Drosophila melanogaster: one gene and its partners. Changing the gene in region 2 together with the main gene of any one other region gives a genetic interaction. Each region holds a gene or a part of one and is shown on either strand. Other genes may lie near its edges.

Region 1 (5,585 bases), about 13 Mb from region 2:
AGGCAATCCGTACTATAGGATTTAAGTTATTTTCGACTAGTTTGTTAAAATTAAAGTTATTACCATAGTTACTTTTACGATCACCACTTATGCATAGTTATTTTTAAAGAAATTCATAACCGTAAGCAGGAAACCAACAAACGACAAAAATCCCAAAAAATAATATATAATTTTCTTATGTAGCGTGTACCAACATATTTTATAGAAGCAGATCGAAAGCAAATTGGATAATTGCCTTGAAGCAACAAGAAACAACCACAAACCACCGCAATTTATTTAATTAATGTACTTAAAACTAAAAGAGACCCAGTGGCAGGCGAAAGCAAAAAGACCACACAAACCTTAAACCAAGAAATTATCATTATTGTTGAAAACAAAGCAAGAAGCATACCGTGAATCGTTCACAATCACTTTAAAACCAAAATGAAATGAAATCAATAAACTATAAAAATTGAAAAAGTTAAACCCAGCAAGTGCTATTTACTTAAAATCGTATGGAAAGATAACAATCTTCTTAGGGGCTGACTAGATTTAAGGTCGATTTATTTAGTTTGTTTTTTAATTGAAATTGGCTAAGCAATCGTATTGGTTGAGTCATGCAATTGAAATTGTTGGAACTATGCATACAATATTTTGTATATGTTTAGTTTAGGAGACTGTAGGAATTTCGTAGTAAGCTCTATTTTTTCACTATTCTTGTATATAAATGCACATAATGATCTTAGGTATAATGATCTTAGGTAGTGGTAGTACATAGCAATGTGTGTGCCCAGCGGACGGGGGAACCATGTCCATCTCGGATCGAACGTGGCTCCTCCACGTCCAACTGCCTGACATTCGAGTATAGTGGGAAAAGTGAGTTTCATTTCATTTCATTTCATTTGAATTGAATTGGAGTGAGGAACCGTATTGTTTGAGTGCGGACTTTTCAGGTTGCGCACTTCGTTGAATTTGTCTCCTGATAAAGCTACAATTAATTGAGCACTAACTTTATGTGTGTGTGTATATACTATATATAAGTACAATTATATGTATCAAAAATGCAATCAACAATATCAGTCCGTTGCCGTGGCCAGCAACAACAATATCTCCTATTCTCAAACTCCATTCATTTCACGCCCGCTGAAACGGAAATTGATACCAGATATTAGGGATTAGGGCTTAGGGATAGTCAAGCATACTCCAATGGGGATGGATGTGATATGTAAATTGAGCAGATCAGTGAAGGTGCCTAGCCTCTGGCCAATCCAATCCATTTCGGTACTAGCCTTGCACGTATCCCAGTTCCGTCTACTCACCCAGCCGTGGATCCTATGGCCAGGCGAAGTTGATGCCCGTCAGCTGGTAGAACTTGTTGTTGAAGGGCCGGTAGAACTCCCGGAGGCGCTCGATGGCCCCGGGATCTATGTGCGGATGGTTGCGCCCCTTGGTCTTACCCAGACAGTGGGGCGTGGAGCGTGCCTCCGACTTGAAGAGGCAGGGGAAGCCCTTGGTGGCATTGAAGTAGAAGTGCTTCTCGGTGACCACGCGCTTCAGACCGAGGAAGTCCTGTACGCGTCCAATCTCGTAGGCGGGATCCATGATCAGCCGCTCGCCGCTGATGAAGAGCAGCTGCGAGAGCGGAAAGTAGAGCAGCCAGCGCTCCAGATAGCGTGCATAGACGCCGATCTTCACCGGGCCCCAGTTGGTGTCCACCACCGAGTAGCTACCGTTGACGAAGGCCAGCTGCTCGAAGAGCTTCATGTCCGCCTTCTTGCTCGCCGCCTGTGTGTAGTCGGAGATGGCCCGCGTCACCGGATCCCGCACCACAATCAGTAATCTACGGGCGTATAAAATTGAGGTTAAGTGAAGATATGCTAGTGATTGATGGTCCAGATACGTAGGGTTAATGTAAAACGCATAATGCATTTAGAATATAATGTTAATCCCTTCTATGTTGATCAAATCGAATGTTGTATTCCGAAAACCATTTCACTTAAGGTGCTTAAAAGTATGATAAAACCTAAAACAAGTTCTAAAGTCTTGTGTATAAAGCACATATTTAAAAGGACTCAATATTTAAGGGATATCCGCCTTAAAAATCTCAGCTAAGCGTTTGAAACACTTTTATTATATAGTATGCTACGATTTACGTACGGTTTCAATATTTAAGGGATATCAAATCGGCCTTAAAAAGTATCTCTCTTCAATTTTCAACACTTCTATTATAGGTGCTAAAAAGTATGCTATGACTAAATACAGTCTTGTGGATAAAGTGCAGTATTCTAAAAATATCATTTTTAAGAATTGACCGTTTTTAAGTTCTATCAAATCTGATGGAGTAACAATTTACGATTATGATCACAATAGGTTTGATGTAGAAAAGCTCACTTTGTTGCCGGATTCATGTGGTAGACGCGCTGCGGCACCTCCTTGGTGACGAAGTAGCTGGGCGTCTTCTCCATGGTGATCTGGCCCTCGATAGTGTACGGCATGTGGTGGCGGTACCAGCGTAGTCCCCGCTGGTAGTGCCTGTCGAAGAAGTGCACCTCCGAACCGGCGGCCCGCACGTCCGGATGCAGGCGGATGAACTCGAGCAGCGCCCGCGTCCCGCTCTTCTTCACGCCAATGATGAGCGTGTCGGGCAGGTGGCGCGATGGTCGGAGCCCCTGCTGACGGAGCAGCTGATACTTGGGCGCCCCATCCAGGCTGCTAGTAACCGTCTGTGCCGGCGGAGCACCGGTGGTGGATGAGCTGTTCCTGCTGCTGCTGCTGTTGCTGCTGCTGCTGTTGGCGGCGTTATTGGTCTCGTTGCGGGGCGAGGAGGTCAGCGCCAGTAGATTGCGTAAGTTGCTCTGCGCGGGAGAGGTCAGAGGTCAATGCCACACATCGTGCGAAACATATCAACATATTGGCTTATGAAAATGCCCAACTTGTAAGTATGCCGAAAAGTATGCAACTATAAATGTACATATATATAATCGTATATATGTATGTAGATAGCATCGCAAAGTTCAGCGAAAGACAAAACTTAAACTTTTCACAGCACACTTTTGGACAGCTTGTTAAATGTTTTGAAACCGCTGGGGATTATTACAACCCCCCCCCCCCCCCTAATTTTGAGTTGGCTCCACTTTACACATGTGTGTAGCGAAACTTTATATTCGATTTTCCAATTATCAGTTTGTTTTCATGAATAAATGCATTGGATATTGGATACATTTAGCCCCTACACTTAGACATTGTCCAGTGATTCGTGGACATATTCACCTGCTGCAGACTGCGACTGATGCTGGCCAGGAGGCAGGCATTGAAGCTGTAGGAGAAGTAGACCAGAGTCACGCAGATCACCAGGGCGATGGCCAGGCTGCGGCTGCTCAGGCTGAGGCTGCTGCACCAGATGCTCATCACAATCATGGCTGGCTGGGCGCTAGTGGCTGCCGTGTCTCGCATCTGGCGGTATAATCGGTTCCGAGCGCTCCGTCAAATTCCATTGCCACTCAGTCGCCCCGGAGCACTGCCTGCAGCATCCGGATTCCGATTGTGATTTGCAATCGCAGCAGCGGCTGGCGGCTACCGCCAACGCGAAGTCAACTGAAGGAATGGGGCTGTTCGCAACGCTGGAGCTGCTGGTAGTTGCTGGTGGTTGCTGCTGCTGTTAGGTGGCTGGTGGGTGGTTGGTGTGGTTGGGGTGGTGCTGGCGCTACGAGTTCGGCCTGCAAGTGCCGGAGCTGTCGTCGCAGCCGAGTTGCGGAAGTGAAAGCCAGGGATAAGGCAGGGCCAAGACATTGGGGTGCCCTGCCAGCGGATAAGCGCTGCCTGGGCCGCCGGTTCGGCTCCGTTTGTGCAGGATGACAGGATGGGTGGGGGAAGCGGCCGTGTCATGGTTGCGCCTGGGAAGCGCACAGGCGCATTGGACACATCCTCTCTCGTCTCGGGACGCTTATGCAACTGAGCGTTTTGCTTGCTCTCTCGCCAGCTCGTCGAATCGCCGTTGGTGTGACGTCGCAAATGTACACTGCCCGAAAGAAGTGCCAAGTCTTGAATGTAGCAGATAATTAATGTAGTGACAGCTTGCTATCACATCATGTCTTTAAGAAAGAAAGCAGACATATATAGTTAAATCAAAAGATACTAAAATCTGAAGAATTTCCGCTTTGTGAGGGTTTGACGAAATCTTTGCTTTCTACACAAATCAAATCTTAATAAATAAGTATTTCACTTAAGTTAGTAATTAATTTCCAAGTCTGATAAAGTTATATTTATATTAAGCAATAATAATAGACATTATTGATTTGTTAATTTCTAACTTCACAACGAATACATGATAAAATGTACTCCAAAAACGCAATCGTTAAGTAGTATTTCTAATATTTTTTATTATTTCTAAAAATGTATATATGTATATAGTTTGTTATGTAGGCTGGGAATGCCATCTTAATATTTATTCGACCATAATCTTTTCGTATACGGCCTTTTATTTTCTTACTTCCTGTCGCAACTCTCTCTCTCTCTCTTTTTTGCTCTCGGCTTCAATCAATTTTCCGCTCAAAGGTAAACAAACTAACCAAGAACTTACCCCCACCCACTTTGGCAACCAACCACCCACCCACAACCCAACCACCCCATTTGCGTCTGATAAAGTACTTGCTGGCATTTAATATTGGATTGAAATCAATTTACCAAGCATTATCGCCGGACGTTCTATTGCCCGTACTCCTATCACCATTAGCCATTTGAGATTAGTTTTAAGCCCTATCGTTGGAATGGCCCAATGGCCTTTGCCACATTGTTTTCTTATGCATATGAAAGGCCAAAAAATTGTACGTTTCCGTGGCAGCGTGGTAAATAGTAGGGGCCCTCAGTTGGGCCAACTGCCAAGGAGCTTATCAACCGGCGGACATCTGTTTATCTGTCCAAGTGGCTTATTCCACTGCGGCATTAGTCACTCACTTTGGGATACACTGGCGAAAAAAGCGCCAGGAAATTCGATCATATAAATTGGGGTAAAAATATTTACATAAAATGGGAAATATAGTACTTCGAGTAATGCCATAGATAGATACTTGCTCAAAAAAAGATACATTCAGGTACAAAAAAAAACATTGATCTATAACCAACGAATTTCTCCACAAGATGCGCAACATAATCGGATTTCCTTTTGACTATCATAATTCATGAACCCGAGCGGAGAAATGGCTAGATAATCCCAAACCCTCAACTTTTCCGCCCGTGTATCCATGGCCACCACACACATGCACCTGGTCGGGTCGGGTTGGCTTATCTTATCGCCTTATCTGCGCCGCCTTCGTCGCAGTCGAATTCTCCGCCGGACTTCCACCGGCCCATTTGCCATTTGTCCGGCGTCGCATCGTAGGCATCTCCATTCCAGCTGCTCGCTAAAATGCTCTAAGCTCCTTCGATAGACGAACCTTCCTCTCCCTGCTGCTGGACTAACTAACGCAAATCTATCGCAAAAATGTCGAATGTGTGGGGCAAACTGGTGCTGAAGTTCTTTAAATATGCGCCCAGCTATGTGGGTGAGTTAGCCACGCCAATGGAGATCCTTGTCCAGAGATTACGTCTCATTCACTTCCAGTCTGCCT
Region 2 (7,034 bases):
TGCGCCTTAAATGGCCCGGAGCAACTTCACCAGAGCATCGCCAACATCACCAGCATATCCAACATCACCAACACATCACGCACTCGCTGCACTGCACAATGACAAAAAAAAAAAAATGCATCGGATTTTTTGTCTTTTATTAATTTATTTTAAGTGATTCACGGCGGCGTAGACTGAAAACGAAAACCGAAAACTGAAAACAGCTAAACCTTGGAAGTTCCAAAAATGTCAACTGATTGATTTGAATTGCACCGCATTGGTAAGAAACTGGCAACAATGCAACAATGCCATAGAGCCACCTAATTGGAATTTAAGCTTGTGCTGGTAATTAGTTTACAAGCAGCATGGCACAATTGAGTGAATAATATAACATAAGAGGCATAAAGAAAAAAGTCCCAAAAGAAAGAACTCATTCGAACATACATACATAAGTGAAAAAGTCCAAAAAGAAAGATTTCCTTTTAGACATGAGTGAATAAATATCCCAAAAGAAAGACTTAATTTGAACATGAATGAAAGTTACTTTATTTGAACTATATATAAATGTACTGTATTATATATGCGTAATATGCATACATAAATGGTGTGGAATTTGTTGTGGAATATTCGCAATGAACTTTAATAACTAATCAGTGCTAAATACAACTTAGTAAAATCATATCATATCATATATCAAATATGGTGGCGCGGTCAGTAGCCGCTAGCTGTCCGTACGATCTCTACATACTATATGCTATATATGCTATATATTGGCGATGTATACGATAGTTCGTTCGATGCTCGATGATATCAATATGAAAGCAACAATTCATCAAATGTATGCAAGGGATTCGATAAAAAAAATTATTGTTATGTCGTATGGCTATGGGGCTATGTTAAAATATGTTTATGTATGTATGTATATGTATATGTATATGTATATGCGTAATGGAATATCTGGCTGCGTTACAACTATGCTTCCTAAATGCTCCGTTTAATAATGAATAATTCAAATTAAAATCACATCAAATTCGCTGAATGAAAGAGATTAAATGGCCAAGACAAGTGAGACAAGTCTATCGAATTTACCCATCTCCATTTCCTCTCTCAAAATACTATTTTAATCCTATATAAATCCGATATAAAGAAAATTCACATGGATCTGATGAAAGAGACAAATTCGAAACCGAGAGAGATGGAGAGATGGGCAATGGTTATAGCTAGCTATATCAACAATATACATATCCTATAAACGGGAGCGCTACGATTTTGGCACAGCTTGCACTCGAATGGCGTGGCTTGGCTTGGCTTGAATCGAATCAGGAATCAAGAATCAGGATAATGCCTAATACTAGTAGGTGTCTTGGGTCAAGATTCTCTTGGGAACTACAGCTACAACTAACTAACTAACTAACTAGCTAATACATATGATGTACGCCAACTTATTGCGTATGTGCGTACAAATACGAATTGGAAGAGCGGAAAGGAAGCTACAATTGCAATTGTGGTTTGCTGTTGTTTTAGGGTTCGAGCAGCTCGAACGCTATTACAATATATCTATAAAAAAAATATATCATAGTAAACGAGGATTGCACACACACTGAGATTATGTAGAAAGTAACTTAACGACGAATGGAAGAGAATGATCGAGGGGACTTCGGTGGGTGGGTGGTTGGTTGATTGGTTGGTTGGTAGTTCTACTCGGGGACAGGGAACTAATCCTTAATCCGTCACGCCCAGGTGCACCAGCTGTTGCATGGTTCGTTGCAAATAGGTGGGATCCGGAAACATATTGAACTGCGTCTTGTGATCCACACTGTTCCAGATCACCACATCCTCGCGTCCGGTGGTCACCGATCGTCCGATCGAGAAAAGCAGCCGACGATCGAATGCAATCTTGAGGAAGCGCAGCACTTTTCGCCCCAGCGGGCAGTCCGGCAAGTAGCAGATCCGCGGAAATCCCACGGCGAAGAAGGCACGACCCGGATGCGGATGCTCCTCCGTCTGCAGTCCCGATGCAATGCTGCCATGCAAATGAAAAAGAGTGATTATAGTTGATTGCTCAGTGGCCACAGGCACATTCACACTTACTCGTAAACAATCTGTATGGTGTTCTGACCCTCGTGTCCTGGCAGATTCTTGCTGATTATGCTCCACGACATGCTGCCAATGGGCTGATTGCCAACCTTCTCGCCGTAAACGATGCCGCATACAGGGCACTCGATGAAAAGGTTCTAGGGGAATGAAATTTAAATAAACTTTCTCTTTCTAATTGGCATCGCTTTCGCGTGCTCACCTTGTTCATTTCGTTTTGCTGGGCAATTATCATCCCATTGAGGCACTGCAAATGCATGAGATGCTGGCAGCGACTCAGCGAAATGGCCGGATTCTGGGCGGAGTGCACCAGCTCCTCCATGCACATGGGACAGGGCTGGGCATTGGGCCACAGCGGTGGCTCCACCACCTTGACAAAACGCGATATCATATCGCTGGCCGGGTCCACGCCCACAATCGAACCGGCGATTGATTGCTGCTGCTGCTGCTGCGCCTGTTGCTGCTGTTGCATCTGCAGCTGCTGTTGCTGTTGTTGCTGCTGCTGTTGCTGTCGCGGATGCAGTGGTAATGGCGGCGGCACCGGCGCCCTTTCGCCCAGCGACGATGGCGGCAGCGAGGGCACAAAAACTTCATCGCTGCCAAGCGAGCAGTCCAGCAGATCATTGACCGAAATGGCAAAGTTCCTGCTGCGCAGGCTCTCCTTGCTCTCGTGGCTGAGGTAAGTGGACACAGTGTCCACACTGGGTCTCCGCCGATGCGATTTCACACTGTTCGTGTCCGTGTCCGAGGTCCGCGTACGCGATCTCGAGCGATGCGAGCCCATCCGGCTGCTCCTTTGCGACTGCAGCGATCCCTCCGAGCAGCGACTATGATGACTGTTCATCGAGGCAGTCAGCATGTTCTTGGCGTGCGAAAAGTGCGCATGCGACAGATGGTTGGCATGGTGCAGCGAGGCCGATGAGGAGGATGAACTGGCACTGGCCGCCGTCGACATGTTCGATTGGTGCTTAGTGCTGCTGCTGAAGATGTTTAGGTTGTTGAGTATCTGGCGTAGATTGGTGGTGGAGATCTCGCTGTGCTTCTTGGGCGGCTTCCTGGGCGCCGTCTGATGATGGATTTGATGGTGCTGCATCTGATGTTGCTGCTGTTGCTGATGCTGTTGTTGCTGATGCTGGTGATGATGTTGCTGCTGCTGCTGCTGTTGATGCTGGTGCTGATGCTGCTGCTGCTGCACTTGATGGCTGGTGGGCAATGGGTGCTGTTGCCTGGTCATGGGCACTCTGTGCAGGCTCTTGGTGTCTCCCAGTTTGGGTAGAGTGTTGTACTGGCTGCTCACGCTGGCGGAATTCGACTTGAGTTGGTTGGCCTGTTGTGGCGTTAGTTTCACCAAGGGATACGGCGCCTGTTGGGTACGCCGAATGCTGCGCATGGGTCCGCTGGGTTGGCGCAGCTGGGTGAGATTGCAAAAGTTAATGGTGTACGGCAGGCCGATGTGGGTGTTGCACAGGTCCAAGGTTTGTTCGCCCTGCAAGGGAGTAGGAATAAGTTATGTTACAATCTATAATTGATGATATTGATTGATTGATATGCGGTTGCAGTTGGACTTTGTGCAAGAAGAAGAATAAATTTATATAGCCCCTAAAATTTGATCATAATACCATAACTCAGCCAAAACTCCAGCGATTTAAGTGCGAATGATTTTAATAGTCATTATTTTTAAAGCAGAAAGTTTCTGTATTCAAACTTTTACAAAAGTGAAAATTAAATTTTTTTTCAATTTTTTTGTCCCATTTTGAGGTTGCAAAAATGGAAATTTTTGAAAAAAAAATTAATTTGATTTTAGCTAAAAAATTTAAATGCAGATTTATTTGTCTAAGCATCAGAAATTCAAAAAGGTACACTTCTTCGATCTACTACGTTTTTTGGCTGAGATGTGAACTGTGGAATTTGGCTTATATGTACTATTTAAACACCTATGGACACATCACAGACTGGTGCATCCTTAGCCAATTCTTCAGGATCAGTGGTAAACCCACACTCTTTTAAGATTCCCCATATATTCTCCCGATAAAAAAATTCCTGAGCAACTCAAAATTCCAACTAGACTGCCAATGGGAAAACATTCGATTCTGCACGGCACTCACCCTCGCCCAGGCGTCCTCGATGATGCACTGGACGTGCATGTTGTAGGGCCGCCAGTCGTTGTTGCTATCGGCACTGCCGCCCGACCACTCCCACTTGGTGCCCTTGCCCGCCGGCGAGCTGGGTGCGTAGAACATGCGCCGAACACCGATGGTCAGCAGGCCGGAGCCGGCCGTTTCCGCCTCCGATTCCTGGGTCATTGTGCGCACGTTGACGTAGTACTGCTCCAGGCTGGGATCCGCATCGCTCAGCATGACGCGCGTCAGTTTCTTGGCGTGGGCGCGTTCCAAGTGCTGCGACACCGCCGGCGAATAGGGCAGCCACTTGCCGCGCGACTCGAACTCCCACACGCAGACGGCGTGGGCGTGGTTCACGGGCGGCCCACCGGATCCGGCGGTGGACAGGGCCATGGTGGCACAACTGGAGGCGGCGCTACCTCCGCCACCGGGAACAACGGATCCGGATGCCGCACTTCCGGCGCTGCTGGCCATTGCTTGCAGTTGATCCGTTATCCGTGGAGTGAGCCCATTGCCATATCCATGCCCATTTCCATATCCAACTCCTCCTGCGCTCTCTTCACTAGCTCTCACTCACTCACTCTCTCTCTCTCGCTCTCTCTTGCTGTTGCTGTCGCGCTATCTCGCTCGCTCGCGAAGATGGGCACAAAATAAACAAAGAAATTAAAAATGGTGGACCCGCTGCCAGCGTTAGTTATCCCTGATTTTCCCTGGCTTCCATTTTCCCGAAGTTTTCGTTCTGGTTCTTTAGTCACTCGGTTTCGTTTAGGCGCAGCTTAAGAATTCACGTTTGATGGTAAAAACAGTTTTTCTAGCATTTAGCGCAAGCGCAGGCGAGAAATTTTTATTGTTGGACAGCGATTTAATGAGAGACAACAGCGGAAAATGGCTAAATAAGGCCGGATGAAAATACCGCACTGCATCTGCAGCCACCAGTTGGATTCGGTAGTTTCAGGGTTGGCATAACTGGTTGCTAGCTAGATCTAGCTAAATGTTTAATATTTTTTATTTTCTTTTCTTGCACTTGAATATAAACAGATACTATTTTTAGCTTGTTAATTAATCAATTAATATATGTGTAATTGAATTCTATATTGAAATGAAAAAAATAAGAACTTGCAATGATTTTACTTGATATTAATTTCAATATTTTTTATTTACTTTGGCAAGTTTAAGCTACTTTTCTTAAGCAACGCGACCTCCAACACTGGCTGCTTCCAAAGTTTCTTTCTATTTAGTATTTCTTTTCAAGATTTTCGGTAATACAAATCGGTCACTTTTAAGAAATTCATAATTTGAGCATGTCTTTGCTGTAACGATCACATTTGTGGTGTATGTCCTAGATAGGATGGAATGTTAGATATATTATTTTTATTTAAACGAAAGGTATTCTGACCACGATTTGATTCGTTTTCAAGCGCTGGCCTATTAAAAAAGAAGTTACGCTTAAATAACATTGTTTTTTAACTTATCTGATGTACCTTAAAATTTTTAAAACATAAATGGAGCGAGTCTCTGCTAAGAATAAGCATAGCCTCTCACCTCGGTATATCGCTTCTTTTGGCGTTTCGGTGCAAATGTGGCACGGTCAGATCGAATCTACTCGATTTCCAACATTGGAACTGCCACTTCCTTTCTTTTTCGTTCCACGTTTCCGGTGAGTGCATGTGCCTAGCGAGCAGTCCTGAATTTTGTGCTAAAAACCAATATTTTATTTACTTTCAGCGAGTATTTCGATACGTTCGTGGTCGTGCTTATCACAGGTAAAGCTCACAATTCCAGAAATTCACCCAAAAACTACGCGGCCGGCGAAAATGTGTGCAAAACCAAATTTTTTGTATAATTTTTTTTCTGTGGGCTTCCAAAGCCGGATTTAAATGTGCCACTTAAAAGAACAAAGTGTAAACAACACGTGAAGTACGCAGTATACTCCGAAAACCTTTTTTTTTTTTGTAGTGAAATTGCCAAATTCCAACCCATTTGAACAAAAATGTGCGTTGCGGCATGTTTTTGTGCATGTGTTGGTGCAGGTGTATGGAGTGTGTGTGTAGAAGTGTTGTTAAAGAAACCTTAAAACTTCAAAGTTATCAAAATGAAAGTAATATTTCTTCAATTTAATGAAAACGGAGTAGATTTCTTCGGAAAATCTGCGAAAAAACGTGTGTTGTTTATACCCAATTATCACACACACACACACACACACACGCAAGCAACATGGTTTTTTTTTTCTTTCCGTACTTACATTTTTCATGCACGTGTTTTGCTGGTCGCCGAAGTTTTGCGTGTTTTCCCATTAACTTTACCAAGTTTAAAACGTATTAATGTGCTAATTCTTTTTTAGCAACTGCTTATTTCGGTAGCAAACTTTAAAACCGCTTGAAAATGGTTGTCAAGAAGGTGAGTTATCGGCGTAAATTTGCTGTTAACTCGAATTAACCTAATGCGTGTTTTCATTGCGTTTACAGCCCAGGCCAAAGAAGAAGCCAGTGACCAAGAAGGTGGCTCCCGCTCCTCTGGCTGTCAAGAAGCCCGTGGTCAAGAAGGTTGTTAACCAGCTGTTCGAGAAGCGTCCCAAGAACTTCGGAATCGGTAAGTGCACAAAACATATTCTATATATATGAATATTGCAGCGGAATTTCTTACATATTAGCTAAATGTATACATATTCTCTCACTTTGCAGGCCAGAATGTGCAGCCCAAGCGCGATCTGTCCCGTTTCGTTCGCTGGCCCAAATACATCCGGGTGCAGCGTCAAAAGGCTGTGCTCCAGAAGCGCCTGAAGGTCCCACCACCAATCCACCAGTTCAGCCAGACTCTGGACAAGACCACCGCCGTGAAGCT
Region 3 (7,723 bases), on a different chromosome or scaffold from region 2:
GCCCTAAGCAAGCCCAAGTTCAAATTTGAATATATTCTGGGAATGGCGGTGCTTAAGTTCTTAAAGGCTTAGCTGAAGCTAAACGGTAGGTGGTTTTATTTATCGGCGTAAAACAAGGATCCAAAGAAATGTATGACAATTACATTTGAAGATAGATGGTCGTAAGAAATATCAACAGAAGCGAATCAATCAAACTTTGTCTTAAATTTACACAGGAGAGTTATGCAGTGGATAAATTATGCCTAACAAATTATAAATATCTCTAAAATAGGCTCTCAATACATTCATACATAGATTGTTCTCAAGTTTCGTGCACTTTTAACAAATATCTCGTGTGATATCGGTTGCGAACATAGGAATAGACAGACAGAAGTGTGTGTTTCGTGTTTACAGTATACAGTAGTAATACATACGTATGTAATAATAATAATAACAGTAACTATTTAACGCAACGTGGTCGTCAAATGGAAAGGGGGAGGGGACGGTAAAGCAGGCGCTTAACTGGAATTAAACATTAATCAACAAACCGACCACAAATCGACTGCCACTCATTCCTGGCAGAAGCCCTCAGTCTCCTCGATGGCAAAGGTCAGCTTCTCCACCAGCTGATCGTAGCTCTTGTACGGCGGCAGGTCCAATCGATTGAAGCAGGTGTGCGAGCGCGGCAGCCACGTCTCCTTGCCCACCTTCTCGATGCAGAAGCGCTGCGGCCCGTTGGAGCCCATCAGCTCGGCGAATCCTCCGACCGGCACGCGACACGTGCCCGTCACAAACTGCAGCAGGCGAGCTCGCTTCTCGTTATCCGTCTCGCGAACAAACTGTGGAGCCAATTATCCGGATTAGCGAATGGAAAGGGCACAAAGAACACAAAGGAACCCACCTGCCAGAACCAGACAACTTGCTTGGAGTTGCGGTTGTAGTGCCTGTAGATGGTGTTGCGCTGCCAGTCCTCCACGTCCACGTCCTGCATGCCGCACAGAATAAGCTCCAGCTCGCGCTCGTCAAAGTACTTGAGCCATTCCAGGGGCACCACCTCATTGAAGCCTTCCAGGAACGTCTTTGTCTGCTGCTCAATGCCACTGCAATAGGAATCAGTTAATACCGAGTCAAAAATGACACCCATATTGACAACATATTGTCGTTTATCAAGTAAAATGCATACCGTGTCATCCGCCACTCCGTCATGAGGGTGATGTACTCCTCCTTGTTCTCCTCCGTGACGCGCTCCTTTTCCCCGTTCTCCTTCAACTCATGATGGATTATCTGACCGAGCACTTCGAAGTCCACGCTAAACCAGAGCTCCAATCCACACTCATCGATGTTGTTATCTTTTACCCAGATAAGTGAGTTGTAGAACTCCGGATCGATCGTTTCGATGTCCTTGATGGTCAACTTCTTGTTCAGCATGCGCTTGTAAAATGGCATTGTGAATCCACTGTAGATAAACCTTCCATGATACAGGGCCATCGCAATAAAGCGACCGATGAACTTGAAGTACTGCAGGTGATCGGGGTTCACGTACGAGGCGGGATTTATCTGCAGGCTGTAGTTGTTCTTGTTCGCGTACTCAAACAAGCAGTACATGGGATTCAGAACCTCGTGGGAGAGCAAGAAGAACCACTCGCGAGATACACCACCATAATCCAGTCCCTCCTCGCCGCGGAATATGATATAGAGCCGCCTTCGCAGTTCGTAGGCTGGCAGACGCATGATCTGGTGGTATGAATCCTCGAACAGGGTTTGTCGCGTCACCGTGATCTTGATGTGCGATGGCAAAGCGTTGCTCTGGCACAAGTACCGGAACTGCGACAGCTTCCAGCGGAAGCTGCGTTCGTAGGCGCGTGGCACTCCGTACACTCCCTTGGCGCCCTTCGGAGCACCGGGTCGAGGATCTTCGAAGGTGGTTCGTCTCGTGTTGTGATCTACGAAGAAGCGCTCACCGGCGGCTGTATAGCGGATTTCCCAGCCGGGTGGAAGCGGGCCCTCGTTGATCAAGCTCACCTCCTGGCCCTGCGTGCGTGGATCCTCCCACTGGGTGGTTCGGTTCTTGTGGTTAACAAAGTACACTCTGTTGTCCGATTGGATCTGCGTAAGGATTAAGTAAATAAAGGAACGAGTTAAAATAAATACTTTTTCTAATCTAGACAAACGGCTTTACCTTCTTCTCCCAGCCATCTGGTAGTGGACCCAGTGCATCCTCGTCGTCCTGCGTCACCTGGGCTGTCACCGCCGTTGGTTGCTGCTGCTGCTGGGAGTACAGGTATCGCTGGTTGCCTTGAGACACGACGTGGGCCCGCTGACCCTGCCAGTGCTGGAAGTGCATCAGACGCTCACTGTTCGGCCGCTGCCAGGTAGTTTTTCTTGTGTTGTGGTCTACGTAGTAAACTCGACCGCGCCCATCCTTCCTGATCTCCCAGCCCGGGGGCAGCGGTGTCGGTTTCTCCCAGTATGTGGATCGTGTATTGTGATCTACGTAGTATCTGCGACCGTACTGGTCCAGACGGATTTCCCACCCTGCAGGCAGCGGCTCATCATCCGCTGGTTGTGTCTGCAGTTGCGGATCTGTGCTTTGGCTCACGGGCAGTCCAACTCCTGGCTGTTCAATTGGTGGGCCTGCTACTCCAGGTGGTCCTACTGCTGCTCCTCCTCCAGCTGGCAAATAAACAGCAGCTGGTTGTGTATTCTCTGGCAGCGCTCCGTACACTTGGGTTAGAGGACGAGCTAGTGCGGGAGCTGGTGGCTGCTGAGGATACGGAGCTGTCTGCGGCACGGCCGCCCCACTGCCATTGACCATTCTCAGGGGCTGCTGTTGATTCTGGGATTGCTGCTGTTGCTGTTCCCACACCGGGGGCGCCTGCGTAGATCTCCTGTGATCTCCACCTCCATTCGGCAGAGGAGAGCGGGTCTCTCCGCCGTTGCTATTTCCACTGCTCGAGCGTAGTCGCATCCGTGCCCGTACTCCACCGTAAATCATGCAACTTCGTCCGGCGGCCGCATCACTGACCACCGACGGATTGACCGCCTGGACGGGTGGATTGCCATTCTGTTGGCCAGCCACTGGCTGAATCTGCAGCTTGCTCATATCGAGTTTGAGGCCATTGAGGATGGCCACTAGTTCGCCGCTCTTCGTCTGGCGATTGTCCGACTTGCTGGTGACGAACAGGTCGATGGTCAGCTCAAGGAACTCGCACCGCCCATTGTAGTGCTGCAGAATGTGCGCCAGGTTGATGATCCGCTCTCCAAGCATGGCATCTTTACGGAAACTGGAGTGATCCAGCACTTTGAAGTGCAGCGTTGAATTGGGTGTAATCTAGAGACGATAGATCCCGTGGATATTACAAATAATTGACTTTTATTACTGTTTCTACTCACCAGCACTGTGAACTCCTCGTTCCACTTGGGCAAATAGCTGTTCTTCACCAGGTCCGTTTTCCGCTTGCTTTTGCTGTCAATCAAGAGCTCCACGTAGGGATTTGGCTTGAGGAAGCCATTGTTGCGCAGCGAAGCCTCCTCGACTGAAAGGATTTGGGGCCATTATTGATTGAACAGAATGTTTCACTTTCTTTTGTTTGCTCACTTGTCACGCTTAATTGATGATATCCTTGATTGGCACTCCCACTGGCCCCCGCCCCCGAGCTGGAGGTGGGCGTGGGGCTGGCGGATCCCGCTCCATTCACTGTCTGCCCGGCTTCCATGCCGCCGGAAGCTGCACCCGCTGGCAGCCCATTTCCATCGGCCATTTAGTGGCTGAGTGTGTGAGTGCTCCTGGTGCTCCGCCTCCTCCTCCGCCTTATATTCCTCCCTTTGAGTGAAGAGAAAGCCAGTATTGAGCACGCTGCTATTGAATATTGGTGGTGGAAAGTATCGAATGGGGGGAAATTGCGTGTTCTGGACTGATAAGATAAGTCCGGAACACGGTCTACATACGTAAATGGTTTATCAATACCCAAAAATGTACAATGCTGTTGAACAGGAAGCTTTTATAGAGTGGAAATAACTATCCGAATAAAAGTGTTGTACACACTTTTGCTAGGTTTACAGATTACCAACAGGCCTTTATGGGAACCCTGAGTGATTTACTAAGCACTTTTTAGGTGTTATGCAGTTTTCCTTAGTCGCTTTAAGCTCTCGACTACTTATACACCTGATCTTAGAAGGCAGATAATGCCAGCTCTATATCATTATGAAAGCGACTATCCGCAGATAAGATATGGCCTGTATAGCTTTGTGTATTATATAGTGTGTAAACGACAGTATGGCAACAAAACTGTTTGCGAATAGGCCTTCACTTTTTTGGTGAAATAAACTGCTCGAACAAATTGTGAGCTGTAAAATCGGCGCTAATGTATGTACAGTGCAACTCGGTCATATATGAAAGATAAAAATTATGCTATTTCAAGCGAAATTAATCATGACCAAACTGGGTAAACAGTTTATTAAAAAACTGAGTAATGTTTCTGATCCCAAAATATATTCTTTGACTAAGTGAGGCTAGAGTTCTAAATTATTGAAAGAAACTTGTATTACTATAGAAATTCCCCCAAATAAATATATAAATGCACTGATAAGTGCACTTGATTTCGTGGACTTTAAACTACTGGGAAGCACCGTATTATCGCCTATTAATTTTCTCCATAATTTGCGACTGCCACGGCTGTGTGCGTGTGTGTTTCCCTGTACTTTTTCGTACACACTCAGCACCGATTGCTGGTCATCCATAACTTTGATAGCAAACACCCCGCTACACAATAGATTGTATAATAATGTTGCCATGTGAGTCATCGGCTCAACGCGAAAAAGAAAACGGCAAGTGAATTCGGTTTCAATTGTTGAATGGCTATTGCATATTGATTGTGTGCAGGAAGCAACATGGCCGATATGGCGATACACAAGCCCACAAATAAGTTATTTTGTTATATATCGTCAGAACTGAAATCTCAATGCTTTAATGACTTCTTCGCTTTGCTTATCGGCATGCTGATAACTACCATGATTTTCTCGCTGTGTACCGTTCGCGATTTCTCTTTTGCTAGCGTTTTCACTACATTAATTAACCGAGAACACGTGAGCAAGTGCAGCTTGTTGTTTACCATTAGTGTCTACTCATCAGATTCTGTGACCGGATTGAAATCGATTTGGAAGGGCTTTGCATGGATCTGAATGGGACACAGTTCTCCGATCAATTAGCACGCACTTTCCGGCTCATTTCGCCTATCATTCGAGCGCTTATCAGTGGGCCGATGAACAAAGGGAAGCTATCTGGTGGGGCAGCCGGAGCGCGAGCCAAGCGAAGTAATCAGCAACAGCTGTCAATAAGCCTAGAATGCACTTCTCGCTCGATGGATGGGGAGGGGTGGTGGAGGGAGGGGAACTTGAACTTCCTTGAATTATCGACCGCAGGGCTTAGTCACCCACACAGCGCCACTATGCTACAGTACACACATATATATGTGTAGATATATATTTATTCGTGGTCATGTAACGCACGCCAGAAAGAAGGTAACTACCTCTCCCACTCCCACTCCTTCTGTGGGTGGGCGTGTGTGTGTTTGTGTGTGTGCGCTTGTAATTGAGGCAAAGGTCGCGACTTCCGTCCCGCTCGCACTCGCTGCCGCCGCTCTACCGCTGGCGAATTCCAATGCAAGAGGCGTTCCTTTTTGTTTTTAGCAATTTCTGGGGGTTTCTCCTCCTCCGTTTTCCTTTCCTTTCTACCTGTGTCTTACCTTCTGCTGCTTCTTCTTCTGCCTCTGGTGCTCCTACAACTTGCGCCTGTGTGTGTGGTTGTTGTCTCCTGTGTGCGGCTGCATGTGCGAGTGTGTGTGCGGGATTCTTAACTGGGTTTCCCGGGCCCCAAAATTGATGGCTGGATTATTGCACTAGTTGGCGCTGCCGCCCTCGCTTTGGTCCACGTAATCGCGAGCAGTTGATATCGCTGCACTAATTGTTTATTTGTTATTTTGCTTCGCTTGCAAGCAGCAATTTCTAGAGCTGCAACTTTGGACGATGTTTTTCGATACAACTGATGTGGCCACTCAGTGCGCGAATCGATAGGTTGAATTCAATTGGCGAGGCTTGTTATGCACGCTAGACTGGGTTGGCGTACTCGCTATATTGCCAACTTACATGTTCAACCAGAGTTGCCGTACAAGCTCAAAATGGAGTAGCCAACCAGATTTGAAAATGACCGCGAATAGGAATTAGGAATAAAAATAAGAACGTATTGCCCGTAGTCACAACAAAACAAAGGTAAATAATTAGCCAAAAAGTTATGCACCAGCTAGTACTTCTGGCCCCTCTGATTTTATTGGAATCTAAGCTTATTACTCCATATAAATTAGAAGCCCCCTGAATATTCATTACTCAGTTGCGTTGCTCATTGAATTTCTTTAAATGTTATTTAATTTTGTGGTGCTATTGAATAAATATAAAAGCGCGGATTCAGTTCATCGAATAACATAGTGTTTGGCAGTAAAAAGTGCTTACAATGCTAAAATCCGCAAGTGCTTTGCTATGTGGTCTTCTTGCTTTAAATTTGTATGGAGCTTGGGCAGAATCCGATGTGATTTGTCCTTTAAAGGACCCTCCTAGTCAATGTGGAGGATTCTGTCTGGGTGTACTTACGCCCGTGTTAAATCACCTGACCATTTCCCAAAATCTGGCGAATTCCAATAATTCAAGCAAGGCTAACGAGGTCCTGGTGAGACAGTACACGATGGAAGGCCAACTGACTGCTCTGCAGAATAAGCAACTAAGCATTGAAGTCGCACTGGATGCCCAAGGCAGAAAACTGAATGTTAACGAACAGAACTTTACTGAACGACTGAATTGCATGGAAGGCATACTGTCGGCCCTGGAGAAAACAGTCCTTGAAGTAAAAACCAAAATAAAATACCTCGGATTCGAGCAAATCGGCTCAAAGTACTATTACATAGAGAAAGTATCCGAGAAGAACTGGTCCACTGCTTCAAAAACTTGTCGCAATATGGGAGGGCACCTGGCCGACATTAAGGACGAGGCAGATCTAGCCGCCATCAAGGCGAATCTCAAGGAGGACACGCATTACTGGCTGGGAATCAATGACTTGGACCACGAGGGAAAATTCTTGTCCATGCCCACGGGCAAGCAGACTACCTTTTTGAAATGGGCCTCGGGGAGACCCTCTCAGTTGGACACCCTCAACTGCGTGTTCCTATACAACGGGGAAATGTACGATTACCCATGCCACTATACTTTCCGGTTCATTTGCCAGACCGAGGAGGAAGATTTAAATGTATGATTTAAATAGAAACCACATGAGAATAATAAAACCTTTGCTGATGCCGTAACACCTGTGATTTTTTATTCAATCCCTCAAGCCTTCATTAGCTTATCTCTATTACTCACTTTATGGTTACTAAATTTACCAGTTTCACGTTATATTGCACTTTTAGACAAACAAACTGCGCACAAAAAGTGAAATTTCCTTGATTCTCCGATCTTTCCAGTAGCACAAAAACTATTTGTTTAAACAATTATTAGCACTCGTTTTAAATACGAGCACTGAGAGCGGAGAGTCCAAGAAAATTCGTCGTATACCATGTTGTTTGTTCGCTTTCGGACTTTTTCACACATTGTCAAGAGTTTCAGAGAACGCGGCTCAAAGTGAAAATTATCAAAATTTAATGTGCCGACCGCTCCGCATCCGCAGTCATTCGTATCGCGGGCTTCGAACGGAGCAGATCGG
Region 4 (7,201 bases), on a different chromosome or scaffold from region 2:
GCTCCGGCCGATCAGGTGCAAGCAGCTATAATGGCAGAGAGGGCGGCGGCAGCGGCTTCAATCGCCGCGAGGTTTACGGCGGTGGACGCGACAGCAGCCGCTACAGCAGCGGAAGTAGCGCCAGCTACGGACGCACTGGTGGTCAGTCGGCCGGACGCTTCAGGTCCCGCTCGCCGGTGGGAAACCATCGATTCTAATGACAACACCACTCATAGTTGCTTAAGGATTGCCTATGAGTAAAGATTAATAAATAATAACTTAAGCGCGACCGTAAAACGCAGACTCAAACATTTAAAATCGTAGCATTCGATCGTTTTCGATCGTCCAACAGATTCCCTCATTCCCCCACATCAACAACAACAACAGAATGATAAAAAAAAAAGAAAAAACAAAAAACTGATAGTCGTCGTCTCTTCATTATTTATTTAACGAATACCCATTAACATGACAATTGCAAGCACGTAAAATTTAAGTTATAACGTAGAAAACTAGTAAGAAAAATACGCTAAGACTCGAACAACGTCAAACCAAAATCTAGAAGTACGCAATTTTAATAAAGGAAATGCGGAACAGTTTCTCGTATACATAAAAGCTTTCGCAAAATAATTGGTCTAAAACATTAAAGAATTTTGAGAACTCGGAATTGTGTAGGTGTTCATTTTTACAGAACCTCTTATAACCATCGTAATAAACCCTACGAAATGAAGCAGTCAGCAGTCCGAAACTGGTAAGAAAGCGTTTTCGAAAATCTGCTTTGTTTTCTGAATCTCGAAAACCTAAAAAGCAATAACCGCCAAGTGTTTACAAACAAATCATTGACTTTACGTTTTGGTAAGAAATATTGCATGTGTACTATCCATCGATCTAACTTTTTACCTATTAAGACAAATACTATACAAATCTATAACTTATTGTAGTTGGGTCGAAACGGCAAAAATCTAGCCAATGCTGCAAGCAACTATATTAAGCGCATCGGTTTTAATGTTTATGTTTTATTTCATTTAACTAAATTAACAGGTCATTTGTTGGAGTATCTCTTAACGTCACTTTCAGATTTATTAGATTGCTTAAAGTTCAAAACATAGCTAAGCAATACTTATGATAACGACGATTAGTTAGTTAGCCCAAGGGGCTATTAAATATTTAAACGATGGACTGCAGAAACTTTTTAAACAAATAAAAAGCGAGACAAATAAATGAGAAATTGGTTAACACGGCAAAACACTTGTTTTTATTTCTTCGTCTTCGAGTCCTTTTTGCTTCAATAACATTTACTGATGATTGGCCTATTTTGATTTATTCAAGTTACGAATTAAAGTCAACAGTTGAGAATTAAGTGGTACCAAGAATTCATTTTGCGGAAACCAACTAGCCTTAAGATACGAGTGTAATTTTTAAAGTTTTGAAAATTTTTTAAAATTTTAAATTATTCAGATAGCAGGTTTTGCTTTTGAATAAAGGAACTTTAAATTCCAATCATATTTATGTCAAAATAATCGAATACCCATAAAAAACCTGTTGCACTTTTATCGATTGTAAATAAAAAAAGAGAGGATTACATTAATGGTATTACCCAAACTGATAGTTTTCAATAGCATTTCAATGGCTGGAAAAAAAAATAAATAAAAGGTATTCGTAAATCTTAAAAATGTTTGCGTTTTAAAAAATTGCATACCAAAAATAATATTGGTTTTGCAAGAAATGGAATTTTTAATAGCTGTAGCAATATTAGTTTCGTGGGTAGAACTCGAGTAAAAGATGTGTTGGTAGTCATGTTTTTGGTAGCATGAAGTTATATGTGTGTTGTTTAATAAGATTAAAATAAATGCATAGATAATTACATATTGTTTAAAACCGCAGTGCTAAAAAATAAATGGTTGTATCGATGACCCATCGATAGTTTTTGCATACACAATTTAATCGAGAGGGCACCACGCACGTCGATAGCACTGGATGTACATTTTCTCAAATCTTGTGGTGGTATCGCTCGCCGTAAACACCCTGTGGATCTCACGCTTGATAAATTAATAATACATTTAATAGAGCATGAGCGCTACTGTTTAACTTTTACACATAATTGAAAAGTTTTATTTGAAATTTCGTGGCTTAGAGCAAAACATGTGATAGCTTTTTGAAATGCAGTAGCCAGAACCTGCTCGGTTGGAACATTTAGCTTATTGACTTAAACATACCCATATGCACATACATACATATGTATTAAACAGTGGGCACATATATTCGTGTGGTGCTGATAGTGTAAATGTGTAAAATGTCTGTGGAATTGTAAATATGTTTTTGTTTAAACAAATATGTACATAAATGCACAAAAATCGGTGCATATATGTGCACATGCCCATCATCCATATCTGCATATTTCTGTACATGCATATGTGCTCTAACTACAATACATACCACCATTCGCAAACAGTTTGTCAAAAAAGTGTGTCTACTCGGCGAGATAAAACAAAAAACAGTTGCCAAATCAGTCGCTATGTTAAGTAATTCGAAATTACTGCTCGGTGTTTCTAAAACGGATTTTGATTTTGATTTTCACCCCTCGAAAATCGCCCCCTCAGCCAACGAACCCATTTAATTGCTCGAATTCGTATCGAAATCGCCGTGCGTTGGGCTTCAATAAAAGAACTCTGTTCTGTTAGCCAGTTACAATTAAAACCAGGACCATTTGACAACCAATCTGAATGTATTATGCCAAGCGGAAGATTGTTATATTGTTTATCTTTGATAATATGCCGATACATGTAAGTATGTTTCACGTGTGTGCCGCAAATGCCTGCCTGTGTGTGTGTGTGTGTGTATGTACATATGTGCGTGTGCATGTGCGAGTGTGTGTGAGTGTGTGCATGTTTGTGCTAAGGATATTTGTGGATATATAAACCGAACTGAAGTTAACTCTTTACCTGTTCCTGGGAAAACAAGTAGGGAACTATTCCTATAGAGAGTGCACCTCTGTCTGTATGTGTATGTACGTGCTTAAATATGTATCCAAGCAAGAACTGCAAACAGGAATATATCTTAGCCGAGTAAGAAGTATTAGTTTATATAGAACAACCTAAGTGGATCGGGAGAAAACAAGCCCATTATATTAGTTCCATATATCCCTTTAGAATGCCTTGGCACAGTATAATTAAGCAGTTTCTATTGACCATATTAGAAACTTGTCTGCTGTTAAAGGATTTAGGTTTGAATTCGCAGTAGAAAACTAAGCTGAATTGAGTCAATACTTTTCTAACTTGCTGTGGAAAATAAACAGATTAGTTAGAATCATATGCATATTAATTAATATGCTTTACATTCCTTTCAGAACGTACACTTTGCAATGGAGTAAATAGAAGACAAGCACTGGTTCCCAAATACATTTGAATGGATGCAGCTAATCTAATTTAAATAAAAAAGACAAGTCTTTAAACCTTAAAAATATGGCCAACACTATTTCGTTAATGTCCAACGTGATACGCAATGTAGTGAGTAAAAAACGTATACGATACAAAGAAAAAGGATACGATTTGGATTTAACATGTAAGTTATTGAATCAACCGCAATCATTGGAATATTAAATTAAATTATCTATTTACCCACAGACATTAATGATAACATAATTGCCATGGGCTATCCAGCACCGGATAAACTAGAGGGCCTATTCAGAAACCGTCTGGAAGATGTCTTTAAGCTATTGGAAGAGAATCATGCCCAGCATTACAAAATCTATAACCTATGCTCGGAGCGTAGTTACGACGTTGCTAAATTTCGCGGGGTAATTTTGTTGAACTTTTTCTATTTGTCGGCGTAAAATATGTAAAATATACTATTTCGCATTACAGAGAGTAGCTGTTTATCCGTTCGATGATCATAACCCTCCAACGATTGAGTTAATACAACGATTTTGCAGTGATGTTGATATGTGGCTCAAGGAAGATTCGTCCAATGTTGTAGCCGTGCACTGTAAAGCTGGAAAGGGCAGAACCGGTAGGAAATGTGTTCAACATTTTGTGCGAAAGTTCATAAATATCATGGCACACTATGATCTTGTTTCGATATTTGTAGGGCTAAAAAACTAACCCAGTTTTTTTTCATTTCAGGTACCATGATCTGCGCATATTTAGTGTTCAGTGGAATTAAAAAATCCGCCGACGAGGCATTAGCGTGGTATGATGAGAAGCGTACAAAGGACCGAAAAGGTGTGACAATCCCATCTCAGCGTCGATATGTTCAGTATTTTTCCAAACTAGTTTGTTCAAGTGTTCCATATTCGAAAGTAAGCCTTAACGTGAGTATTTCCAGCAGCAGCGCCACATTCAGCGCCGTACAAAATCTAAATATGCATTTTTTGTATCTCAGGTATGTGAAATACGCTTCTCGGAGTCCAGTTGTGTGCAAAACTTAGGCATGGTAGAATGTTCAATATCTGTATTACACGACTCAGCCACAGAAAATGCAAAGCCAGATGTAAGTATATAAAGTATATAGATACATCATTGATAGACTATAGACAGCATTTTAAAAATGTATATTTCACACGATTTCAGTGCAGTAAAGTGTTCCTTTTCGAATACCTTTCTAACCAGCAGTAACATTCTTCTTTTTTTTATAATTGCAGAGACTGAAAACCTTGCCGATTGATTTTCAAAAATCATTTGTTTTGACCATTAAACCATCAATACCAGTTTCCGGCGATGTAAAATTTGAACTCACAAAAAAATCCCCAGATAAAATCATTTGTCACTTTTGGCTAAATACGTTTTTTGTACGAAACTATTCACGTAAGTATACTTAATATCGCACATGCATTAAATAAACGATTTAATTAAACATTCTCTTTAGCTTGCGAGTCCGATGGAACAGTTAACAAATATATACACACTTTAAGCAAATCAGAAATCGATGATGTACATAAAGACAGTGAACATAAAAGATTTTCAGAAGAATTCAAGGTAGGATATTTCGAAGCATTTTAATAGATGCTGCGAAATTACCAAATAAATGTGCTTGCTCTCTTTTCAGATTTCAATCGTTTTTGAGGCAGAGAATTTTAGCAATGATGTTCAAGCTGAAGCGTCCGAAAAAGAGAGAAACGAAAATGTTTTAAATTTCGAAAGATCAGACTATGACAGTTTGTCTCCAAACTGCTATGCCGAAAAAAAAGTCTTAACTGCGATCGTCAATGATAATACAACGAAAAGTCAAACAATAGAAACGTTGGATCATAAGGATATAGTTGTAAGTGAAAACACGTTTTGCGCCGATCAATATGCTTAATCTATAAATCTAATATTCGTAGACTAAAATTCAATACGACACATCAACCAATTCAAAAAATACTTCGACTGCGTGCAAACGCAAACAGCCTAATAGCAAAACTCTTTTACCAAGCTTGAATGATTCCACAAAAGAGGAAATAAAACGAAATCATATATTTAATCAACCGTCCATTAAGAAAACTGATTTAATCAAATGGCAGAATAGTGAAGTTCATATCACCTCTGACACTCGAAGTATAAACGAAAATAAGAACATCAATTACAATTCATACATCACATGTAAACAATCCTCTCCAAAATTCAACTGTGGTACCGAAGATGGCGAGGAAGATTGGGAATCCGGTGAGTTTGCTGCACACTATACTCTCAATGACCAGATCTCACTAAAAATCTATCCGTTTTAATCGAGTAATACCGAACAATTGTTCTAATTTCACATTTATTTAATACTAAGAGTTTCGATTCAATTGATTTCTGGACCATTATCGGTTTGATTTTGTAATTAATTGTATTGTATGAGTATTCAAATTAAGATTTGTTAAAAGAGATAGCCTTTATCGACATATGCTATCGTCCACACATTTATATTCTTATTGACTTATTGAATTCGCCAGAATAATCACCCGAGACGATTTAAAAGACTTCTGGCTGAACGATCTCTTAATTTTGATGTATAAAACGAAGCCACCAGAACTGGATTTATATGTCCCCAAGACTTTTACGAGTATACTAGCAGAGACAGGCTTACACAGATCCACTTCCTTTCACGGGGAAACGATCGATTACAGCTGCGCTCTGCACATCTGTTTAGAATTTAATGTACATAGGTGAGTGAGTGGGAGCCCATGCCTGCGGCTCGAATGGTCAACTAACCGGCAATCCTTAATCAGTATCCGCATCGATTTTCATCACACATCCCTCACCGCTTCATAAGTATGTGACTCTGGGCACTGCCATTGTCCTTCTACTCAATTCATTTAACAAAACTAGCACCGAACTGTCGAACTTCGACTAATTCGACTATTTCACTGTTGCTGTTGAAAACTAAATATCCTGAAGCAGAATGTGTCTTTTGTGTGTTTCATCATCATCAAAAGTCTTCTGCTTTTAATTCATTCATGCTATTTTGATTTTTATCGTATTCTCGTTGAGTTTTAGTTAATAAATTCATTAAGCTTGTTTGAGCAAAAAAATCTAAACTAATAAATGAATATTTTTCTTTATTTCCAGGTGAATCAACATACCTGTAATCAATGCTTATTACGGACTTATAATTCTTGGTGATTTAGCAAAGTAATTAAAATTGCTAAGTAATTGGCTAATCTATTCGAATTTGTAAATATACTGTATGATATTTATTTAAGTAGTTTTAACAATTATTTTAAATAAACTCATGTACATTTTGTATTGTAGATTTCATTCGAACTTTGGGTTTTTGTCTAAAGTAAGGGGGGAGAAATAATTGACGTTTAGAAAAAAATACTTAAATTTATAGTTTTGATCTCGAAACTAGTTTTCGACACGAAAAGTGCAGCGATTAAATGGATATCTCATATTTTATTGGAATTTAACTAATAGTTTCAAATGAGGCAATAGCTAAGATAAATAAATAATAAGAGGTTCTTGAAATTTGCCAATTGTTGTGCAAAGCATACAGGATTCACAAAGGTAATTATCAGATTAATAATAAATATTCAAAGTATGATTATTCCAGTTTCTACGTTAAGTGCTACCAGTTATTTTTCTTACTCTTTTTCCCATAATTCCCCTAACATATGTTCCACTTCCGAGTTCCAATAAACCCAACACAAAAATGTTGTCCAAATTGACGCTATCTTGACGGGCATATATTATTGTGTTAAATTGACGTAAACTGGGCGGTCAGAATTTCGCATCTTAACGTCGACATCTAATTTTAAAAATGA

What was found.
Region 1: of dx (region 2) and Hs3st-B, changing one enhances a phenotype caused by changing the other (phenotypic enhancement), as found in Drosophila melanogaster (one study listed by BioGRID).
Region 3: of dx (region 2) and Su(dx), changing one suppresses a phenotype caused by changing the other (phenotypic suppression), as found in Drosophila melanogaster (3 studies listed by BioGRID).
Region 4: of dx (region 2) and Pten, changing one suppresses a phenotype caused by changing the other (phenotypic suppression), as found in Drosophila melanogaster (one study listed by BioGRID).

Annotation. Positions count from the first base shown.
Region 1 is NC_004354.4:19,246,988-19,252,572, reverse strand, and holds Hs3st-B (heparan sulfate 3-O sulfotransferase-B), read right to left. Parts: upstream 3,935-5,585; 5' UTR 3,433-3,934; coding exon 3,250-3,432; intron 2,835-3,249; coding exon 2,371-2,834; intron 1,820-2,370; coding exon 1,312-1,819; 3' UTR 1,299-1,311; exon of another isoform or gene 1,123-1,298; 3' UTR 528-1,122; downstream 1-527. Other genes in the region: CG7992 (uncharacterized protein), read left to right, coding at 5,459-5,519, 5,579-5,585.
Region 2 is NC_004354.4:6,532,046-6,539,079, reverse strand, and holds dx (deltex), read right to left. Parts: upstream 5,082-7,034; 5' UTR 4,668-5,081; coding exon 4,179-4,667; intron 3,560-4,178; coding exon 2,276-3,559; intron 2,214-2,275; coding exon 2,071-2,213; intron 2,003-2,070; coding exon 1,702-2,002; 3' UTR 505-1,701; downstream 1-504. Other genes in the region: RpL7A (ribosomal protein L7A), read left to right, coding at 6,576-6,590, 6,659-6,782, 6,875-7,034.
Region 3 is NT_033779.5:2,036,009-2,043,731, reverse strand, and holds the start of Su(dx) (suppressor of deltex), read right to left. Parts: upstream 6,019-7,723; 5' UTR 5,508-6,018; intron 5,205-5,507; exon of another isoform or gene 5,091-5,204; intron 4,000-5,090; exon of another isoform or gene 3,928-3,999; intron 3,803-3,927; 5' UTR 3,741-3,802; coding exon 3,578-3,740; intron 3,516-3,577; coding exon 3,373-3,515; intron 3,311-3,372; coding exon 2,159-3,310; intron 2,086-2,158; coding exon 1,163-2,085; intron 1,080-1,162; coding exon 881-1,079; intron 819-880; coding exon 549-818; 3' UTR 1-548. Other genes in the region: lectin-22C, read left to right, coding at 6,485-7,276.
Region 4 is NT_033779.5:10,255,812-10,263,012, reverse strand, and holds Pten (phosphatase and tensin homolog), read left to right. Parts: upstream 1-1,963; 5' UTR 1,964-2,159; exon of another isoform or gene 2,160-2,428; 5' UTR 2,429-2,759; intron 2,760-3,025; exon of another isoform or gene 3,026-3,322; 5' UTR 3,323-3,437; coding exon 3,438-3,537; intron 3,538-3,599; coding exon 3,600-3,772; intron 3,773-3,839; coding exon 3,840-3,984; intron 3,985-4,097; coding exon 4,098-4,285; intron 4,286-4,356; coding exon 4,357-4,464; intron 4,465-4,615; coding exon 4,616-4,778; intron 4,779-4,839; coding exon 4,840-4,949; intron 4,950-5,019; coding exon 5,020-5,235; intron 5,236-5,296; coding exon 5,297-5,618; intron 5,619-5,890; coding exon of another isoform or gene 5,891-5,895; exon of another isoform or gene 5,896-6,103; intron 6,104-6,506; coding exon 6,507-6,526; coding exon of another isoform or gene 6,527-6,560; 3' UTR 6,561-6,694; downstream 6,695-7,201. Other genes in the region: Rsf1 (repressor splicing factor 1), read left to right, coding at 1-197; CG5676 (uncharacterized protein), read left to right, coding at 7,198-7,201.